2 linked regions of the Macaca mulatta genome follow. The protein of the gene in region 2 interacts with the protein of the main gene of each other region in a biochemical or structural test. Links are inferred from orthologs where the notes say so. Each region holds a gene or a part of one and is shown on either strand. Other genes may lie near its edges.

Evidence for each region.
Region 1: the proteins of ITGB2 (region 2) and ICAM1 form a complex in vitro, tested with the Homo sapiens proteins (4 studies listed by BioGRID). The link is inferred for Macaca mulatta from reciprocal best matches to the Homo sapiens genes ITGB2 and ICAM1.

What each region holds. Positions count from the first base shown.
Region 1 is NC_133424.1:10,990,703-10,994,605, reverse strand, and holds the start of ICAM1 (intercellular adhesion molecule 1), read right to left. Parts: upstream 2,320-3,903; 5' UTR 2,270-2,319; coding exon 2,203-2,269; intron 1-2,202. UniProt on the Homo sapiens protein: ICAM proteins are ligands for the leukocyte adhesion protein LFA-1 (integrin alpha-L/beta-2).
Region 2 is NC_133408.1:2,629,418-2,633,220, reverse strand, and holds part of ITGB2 (integrin beta-2), read right to left. Parts: intron 2,151-3,803; coding exon 1,906-2,150; intron 1,422-1,905; coding exon 1,202-1,421; intron 822-1,201; coding exon 619-821; intron 1-618.

The sequences.
Region 1 (3,903 bases), on a different chromosome or scaffold from region 2:
GAAGTAAGGTGGAGAGAGTCAGCCCTCCAGGAATCAGACTGGCTCCTCACTCCCTGAGACACGTAGCTTCCCCCTCTTTGGGCCTCAATTTCCCCATCTGTAAGGTGTGTGAGTATAGCCACCCTGTTCCTTGCTAATACAAGTAACTCAGCACAGGGCAGGTAGCAACTGGCTATCTTGCAGGTAAGGGCAGGTAAGAAAGGGGCTGCCGGGAGTGGTGGCTCACACCTGTAATCCCAGCACTTTGGGAGGCCGAGGCGGGCGGATCACGAGGTCAGGAGATCAAGGCCATCCTGGCTAACACCGTGAAACCCTGTCTTTGCTAAAAATACAAAAAAATTAGCCGGGCGTGGTGGCGGGCGCCTGTAGTCCCAGCTACTCCGGAGGCTGAGACAGGAGAATGGCGTGAACCCAGGAGGCAAAGCTTGCAGTGAGCCGAGATAGTGCCACTGCACTCCAGCCTGCGGGATGAGCAAGACTCCATCTCAAAATAAAAAAAAGAAAGAAAGAAAGAAAGAAAGAAAGAAAGAAAGAAAGAAAGAAAGAAAGAAAGAAAGAAAGAAAGAAAGAAAGAAAGAAAGAAAGAAGGGGCTTACACGGTGGGCACTGTGGCTCATGCATGTAATTCCAGCACTTTGGGAGGCTGAGATGGGCAGATCACGAGGTCAGGAGATCAAGACCATCCTGGCTAACACAGTGATTAGCCGGGCGTGGTGGCACACGCCTGTAGTCCCAGCTACTCAGGGAGGCTGAGGCAGAAGAATCGCTTGAACCTGAGAGGTAGAGGTTGCAGTGAGCCCAGACCGCGCCACTGCGCTCCAGCCTAGGTGACAGAGTGAGACTCCGTCTCAAAAAAAGGAAGGAAGGAAGGAAAGAAGGAAGGGAGGGAGGGAGGGAGGGATGGAGGGAGGGCAGGCGGCAGGGCAGGCCTATTTGTATTAGGTCCCTCAGATTCTGCTGCCTCCGAAGGTGGGAAAAAATGTCTGAGCCCAGCACTGCCCCACTTCAAAGATTCTTGTCTCGGATTTGTTCTATCTTGGATGGGGGTGTGAGAACATTGACTCCATATATTTTCCAAGGGAGATTCTGGGACCATTCCCATTTCATAAAGGGAAATGGTTACTCAGTTAGAAAGCAGTGTGATCTGGGTCTGAGTCTGGATCAGAACGCTTTGTTTTTTGAGACCAAATCTCTCTATGTCTCCCAGGCTGGAGTGCAGTGGCACCATCTCAGCTCACTGCAACCTCCGCCTCCTGGGTTTAAGGGATTTTCCTGCCTCAGCTTCCCGAGTAGCTGGGATCACGGGTGCCCACCGCCATGCCAGCTAATTTTTGTATTTTTAGTAGAGACGGGCTTTAGTAGAGACCATGTTGGCCAGGCTGGTCTCCAACTCCTGACCTTAAGTGATTCACCAGTCTGGGCCTCCTAAAGTGTCAGGATTACAGGCATGAACCACCACGCTGGCCTGGATCTGAGGCTTTGTTGAGCTGTTAACCAAGCTGTCAATCTCCCACCTTCCTGGTTCCCCAAACTTACACCACCCGGAAAGATCCTCTGACCCCTTCCCTCTGTCCTAGCTAGGCTGGAGCTGGGGGAGGGTGTGCTGGCGCCTCCCACTTCTCAGCCTTGGGCCACGGATAAGTCAGCTCTGGAATTCCCCTGAGTAGAAGCAGCCCTGGACTTCCCCAGGGGCAGAGAGGATGAGGAACAGAATATACATCTTGAAGTGGGTGGGGGTCCCTTAAGCCTTGTTGGGTTGGCACACAGCCAAGTTCCCAAACCATCATGATTGAGTCCTGGGGCCAGGTGCTGTGCTGGGCCAAGATACCCTGCCAGGTGGCTGCTATGACGTTTCCCGTTTTACAGCTGAGAAACTGAAGTTTAAGAGGCCCAATCTAGCCAAGCAAGGCGGTGGCTCACACAAGAGCCCAGGAGTTCAAGACCGGCCTGGGCAACAAAATGAGGTCTGCCCCTCCCCTCCATCTCCAACCCCCTTTTTCAAAGCTGCAATGTATAGCCCGAGGCCACACGTGGAGGTGATGCAGGGTCTGGATTCGAACCCACTGACTGTTGCCTTTCAATCGCTGTCTCTAGCCCACCTTCCCATAAACAGCTACCTAAGTATGCATGACCTGACCTGGGAACCGGTCCTCCCGGAGTTTTGCGGAGCTGGCCCGATGGCAATCCCCACCCCTGACTCACCTAGGAGCAGAGCCCCGAGCAGGACCACGAGTATGGGCAGCGCGGGCTGGGGGCCGCTGGGAGCCATAGCGAGGCCGAGGTTGCAGCTCTGAGTAGCAGAGGAGCTCAGCGTCGAGTGGGACGCAGTGGGGCGCGAGGTCCTTTATAGAGCTAGCCACCTGGGGGCTAAGGGGCGGTGCTGCTTTCCCGGAAACCTCGCGCCTTCCCCTCCGGAACAAATGCTGCTGTATTTCCGGACTGAGAGGGTGCCAGGGCCGAGCAGGGTCGTCCTCCCTCTCTGGCCGCTGCAGCTCCGGAATTTCCGAGCTAAAGCAATCGGGCGGCGGTGGCGGGGCGATGACCCCGGGGGCTGCTCCCGGTCCACACGCCTCCCGTTCCCCGGCCAGGCTAAGCTTGAATCACGGTCTACACCGCGCTAAGCGGTTTATTAAGTACTGTTAAATACTGCCAACTACCCCGGAGAGTGGGGACTGTTACTGTGTCCATTTCACAAAGCAGTAAACTGAGACTCCAGGCTGCGAAGGGATCCGAACTCAAGTCCTCTCTCTCCAGTTTACGCAGGCCTCTTTAATCGAGTGGATGAGCCCCTTGCCTGGGTGGGGGACCAGGAATCCTCCCCGGGCTCCCTCCACTGAGGGGTGCCCCTCCCCCTAGGGTCACGTCCCCACCCAGCTAACACGGGCATTTCTCAAGAAGCGGCCAGAGCAGAGCCAGGCACCTCCCGGCTAACGCGAACCGTGGGAGTGACGATGCGCGGTCTCACCACGTCCGGGGAAATCGGTGTCCTCCCTCTACACCCGTGGGCACTCACACCCCCGCGGCCTCCTCGCTTCCCCTTTCGGCCTTGGCCGCGGGAGGGTCTTTACAGCTCCCAGAAAAAGGAAGGAAGCTGCGTGATCCCCACGCGCCGAGCCCTTCCGCTGGCGTCCCAGGCTCCGCGGGGAAACTGAGGCGGCTAGCTTGGATCTTGACGAGGGAGGAGAGGGGGGCGCTCGAAACCCCTACCTGTCGCTGGGAAACTGAGGCTGCAGCCCCCAGGCGCCGAGGCGAGGCAGGGAGAAGGGGCGCTCGAACCCCTTCCTGCAGCTGGGAAACAAGGCAGCCCCCAGGCTCCGAGGTGAGGCAGGGAGAGGGGGTGCTCGAACCCTTGCCCTCCGCGCGAGGCTCCCGCAACCCAGGCGCGTGCATTAAATATGAGTGGGTGTTTGCTTGGCCACCGCCTGTGCGTGTGACCCCAAGACTCGACATCCACCACGTCGAGGCTGGGGACTCTGAAGTCTCCAAGCGCCAAGCCGCGCCGCCTAAGGCTTTCCTGTTGTGGGGCGCGCGCGGCGTCGCCGTGGAGATCTCAGAGGGGCCAGGGAGGTCGCGCAGCAGAAAGGGAAGCGAAGGGGCCTGGGACGCGCAGGCCCTTCCTATCGGGGAAGGGGGCTGCGAGTCACTGGCCATCCAGAGACGCATATTTTCCCCGCCTCGGTCATTCCCAAGGAATTTCCACGGGGTTATTTTTTTCTTGGGGGGCTGAGGGGTACTGAATTCCCGCCCCGGAACGGCCTGAGCAAAGTCACAGAGTGGGACTGGGGACGTCCCTGGTCCTCAGACGGCCTGGGAAAATCCTGCGCCACGGGTTCTTCCTCGGGCGGGTTCTACGGACTCGCGCCCCAGCCCGAGGTGCGCGGGCGGCGAGCTCCCCCGCGCGGT
Region 2 (3,803 bases):
CCCCAGTCCCAGCCCCTCTGCCTCTCGGGAGCCTGTGGAACATGAGACCTGAAAAGACAGGGTCAGTGCCGCCAAGGTCACCGTGGGGCTGGGCCTGGTTCCGACTGGAGCCAAATGAGTGACGAGCAGAGAGTGTTGGGGGATGGCAGTGCCTGGTGCCCCTGGGCCCTTCCAGGGCTGAAAGCCGAGCACCAGGATCTTTCAATCCCCTCAGGGGAGCTTCACTCAGCAGCCTGACCTCAGGCCACCCCTAGGGACCTGCAACTCCAAGCCTGGCCCCATGAGGCATCCAGTGGGAGATGACCTGGCCCGGGCAGTGTGGCATGCTGGTGGGCCTGCCCGGTGTGGAGCAGCGGTGCCCCAGGGAACAGGCCATCTGCTGCCCAGCTTGATGCGGGGTCAGGTGAGGAGGGGATGGAAAAGGGAGGCTGCTCGGGGTTGGGGGAACTGGCCTCTGGCCTCCTTGCAATGCCACCAAGGGCATCCCGCATGGCTCACCCACCCTGCTAGGCCCACACCACTGGAGGTGAGACCCTGCTTCTGCACCACCCTCGCCTCTGCAGAGACCCCGCAGTCGGAGCTCTGGAGCCGGTCCCCGCTGCACCCCAGTGGCCTCACCTCGGCTCTCATCCACATAGATGATGTAGTGATCCCACCCGTCCTGCTGCTCCAGCATGTACGTCACCCAGCAGCCCTCTGAGTCCCTCTCCTTGCAGGTCCTGCCCTTCACGGGGTTGTTCGACAGCTGTAGGCGCCGACACGCCGCACTGCAGTTCTTCCCGAAAGGGCCTTTGTCGAACTTCAGGCACTCAGCACAGGAGCTGTGGGGAGCCAGGCGTGAGCGTGGGTGCCAGGGCGTGCGGGGGCTCAGGCATCGGGGGCTTGGGCTTGGGTGTGTGTCCACCAGGTGGGGCAGGTGGGGTTGGGGTGTCCTCAGGCCAAGGAGGGGGCCCGAGTGGGGCAGATGCGGGGTGCAGTGGGTGAACTGGGAGCCTGATCCCAGGGCCCATGGCAGGTGCGCACAGGAGGGAGGGGGGCACAGGGGTGCAGCGGCCGCTGAGGGCTCCTCAGTCCAAATGCGCCCGCAGAGAACCCTGAGGTGCAGAGGTGCTCACTGGGGACCCTGAGTGAGCCCGGCTGCTGGAGAGGTGGCTGGGGAGCAGGGATCCCTGCCCACCCTGCCTGCTCCACCTGCACTCACATGTGCTCGCCGCAGGGCGAGGGGCAGCCGGGGCACTCCTGGCACAAAGGAGGCTGGTAATTCCTTTCGCACTCACACACGTTGCAGCGGCACCGGCCACGGCCGCTGCACTCGACGCGCCGTGCGTTCAGGCAGCCCTCGGTGGTCCTCTCGCACTGGCACGCTGAGCCTTCGAAGCCCTGGAGGCAGCGGCACTTCCCGCAGAAGCAAAGCCCCCTTGCTGGAAGACGGGGGCAGCACGACTAAGCTCCTGCTTGGCCTGGGGACCGAGACCCGCCCGAAACCCCACTGCTGTCGCTCCCTCCGGCCCACCTGCCTCCTCCAGCTTGGGGGATGTGCCTGAGCAAAAGGCACCGGGCCACTAGCCAGGCCTTCCAGCCCCTGTCAGCCACGTGGCCACCTCCTGGCCAGTCTGGGCCTGCCCCTGCCCTGCTATGAATGGGACCTCGGTAGGGCTGTGATCGTTCCTCCTGTGGACCCTCCCCACAAGGACCCCTTGCCCTCATGGAGACAGAAACTGAGGCAGGGCGGGGTGCAGGGTCGTCCAAGTTCCTGCTGACGCCCAGTGGCCGGGCGAGACTTGCGCTGTCTGTCCTCAGGATCCCCCCTTTTTGTTCCACTCGTTGCGTGTTCCAGAATGCACCCCCCAACGCCGAGTCTGTGCCGCAGGACGGCTGTTGTCCAGCAGGGACCCACGGGCTCACCCGGGCCGCCGCAGACCTGGCCGTTGTAGCGCTCACAGTTGACGGTGTCACACTCGCAGTACTGCCCGTATATCAGCTTGCCGGGGACGTCGCTGGTGTGGCACAGACACTGCCCGCAGACGCAGTCCCCCAGCCCTGAGCAGATGACGGAGTTGTTGTCCTTCCGGCAGCTTCCTTCCAGCTCCTGGCTGCTCCGGCCCTGCGTCTGGCACTCACAGGTTTTCCCAATGTAGCCAGTGTCACACCTGGGGACAGGAGGAGCTCCAAGGTCAGGCTCCCCACAGTGATGTGAGACGGCCGCCCCGTCCTCCAGGCCCCTTGCCCTTGGTGGAGAACACCCCTATGGCACACTCTCTGTGCCTTCCTCGAGGCCTACTGAGGACCTGCCATGTACTAAATGTGCTCAAAACGTGCGGGGGCCCTGGGCTCCCTCCCCAGGATGTCCCGAGGGGAAAGCAGACACCTGGCCTCGGCCTGAGCATGCAGCGGCTCGGCAGGCTCACTGTGCAGCTGTGTTGCTGCCATGCACATGGCCTGTGCTGCGACACCGGTGCCCTGTGAGTGGCTGGTGTCTGCTCCTGCATGCCCCACGTGGTGGCCAACGGGGACTTGGCACTGCCACCTGCCACAGCCCCGCCCTCTCTCCAGCCAGCTGCCGCCTGCGTTTGTGCACTGACCGGCCAGGTTGTGGGAGAACTCAGGGACAAGTGGTTTTGTCAGATGTGGAAGCTGTCACCAAGACGCGGGCAGACAGGAGCCCCTGAGGCATCCTCAGGGACGGCCCTGCCATGGGCTGTCTTGCTCCCCAGAGGAGGAAGCCACAGGACCGAGCGTCTGATTACCTGTGGCAGGGCACCCCGCGACACCTGCCAAGTGTTTCGACTGAGTCACCCCTACAGTCCCGTGAAGAGGCCGCCCCAGGACTGCACACCCAGGATAGTGGGCAGGGTGGGCACTGAGGCACGGGGACAGCCAGAGACTACCAAGACCACAGAGACCATCACTGTCCTGAGAAATGGGAGGAGGCTGGGGGCAGCAGGGACCTGCAGGTCCACTGCCACCGGGGCGTGGACTGGCACAGCAGTCTGGAGAGGGGAGGAGGTGGCCAGAGCAAACGGGGCAGAGCCCTGGGAGGTCAGCCCAGCAGCTCCGCCAGGCAGGCAAGGAAAGGGGGAGAGCCATCCAGCCCCAGGGTAAGCTTCCTGGCTGAATGCCGTGTGAACCTCCCCGCTGGGTCCACCTGTCCCCAGCTTCTCCCTGAGGTGGGGTGCCCACGCCTGGCAGGGGGTGTGCACTCCCGAAGGGAGGCCTATGGGGCCCAGGCTGCCAGAAGCAGTCACCTGTCCCAGGAGGCTCTCTGGCCTCTCATGCCCCAGGGCTGCCAGCCTGATAGCCTTGGGTCCCCAAGGACAGAAAGAAGCCAGCTCCGAGGGTCAAGGAAGGTCAGGCAGAGAAAGTGACCTACTCAAGGCCATGGGCACGCCCAGTGGGGACTCCTTGTGCCCCTGACATGGGCCTCTATCCTCTGGTGAGGGGGTCCTCCTGCCCACCAGTCCCCTGCCTTGGGTCCTCCATGGCCAGAGAGTGTAGAGTACAGGCTGGCATCGCTGGTGCCCTGGCTCAGGAGCACGGGGGAGGGCTTGCCGAGGGTTTCTGGGTTCCAATCCCAAATCTCCCCACCTCCTGCAGAAGGGGGCCCCCAGGACGCCCGATCTGTGGAGTGGGGGTGGGGATGGAGCCACCTGCGCCCACCTTACCTGCTTACACCTGCCCTGTGGGGTGGGGCTGGGGGAGGCTTCATGGGAACCTGCACCCACCTCACCTGCAGACACCTGCCCTGTGGGGTGGGGCTGGGGGAGGCTTCACGGGGACCTGTGCCCGCCTCACCTGCAGACACC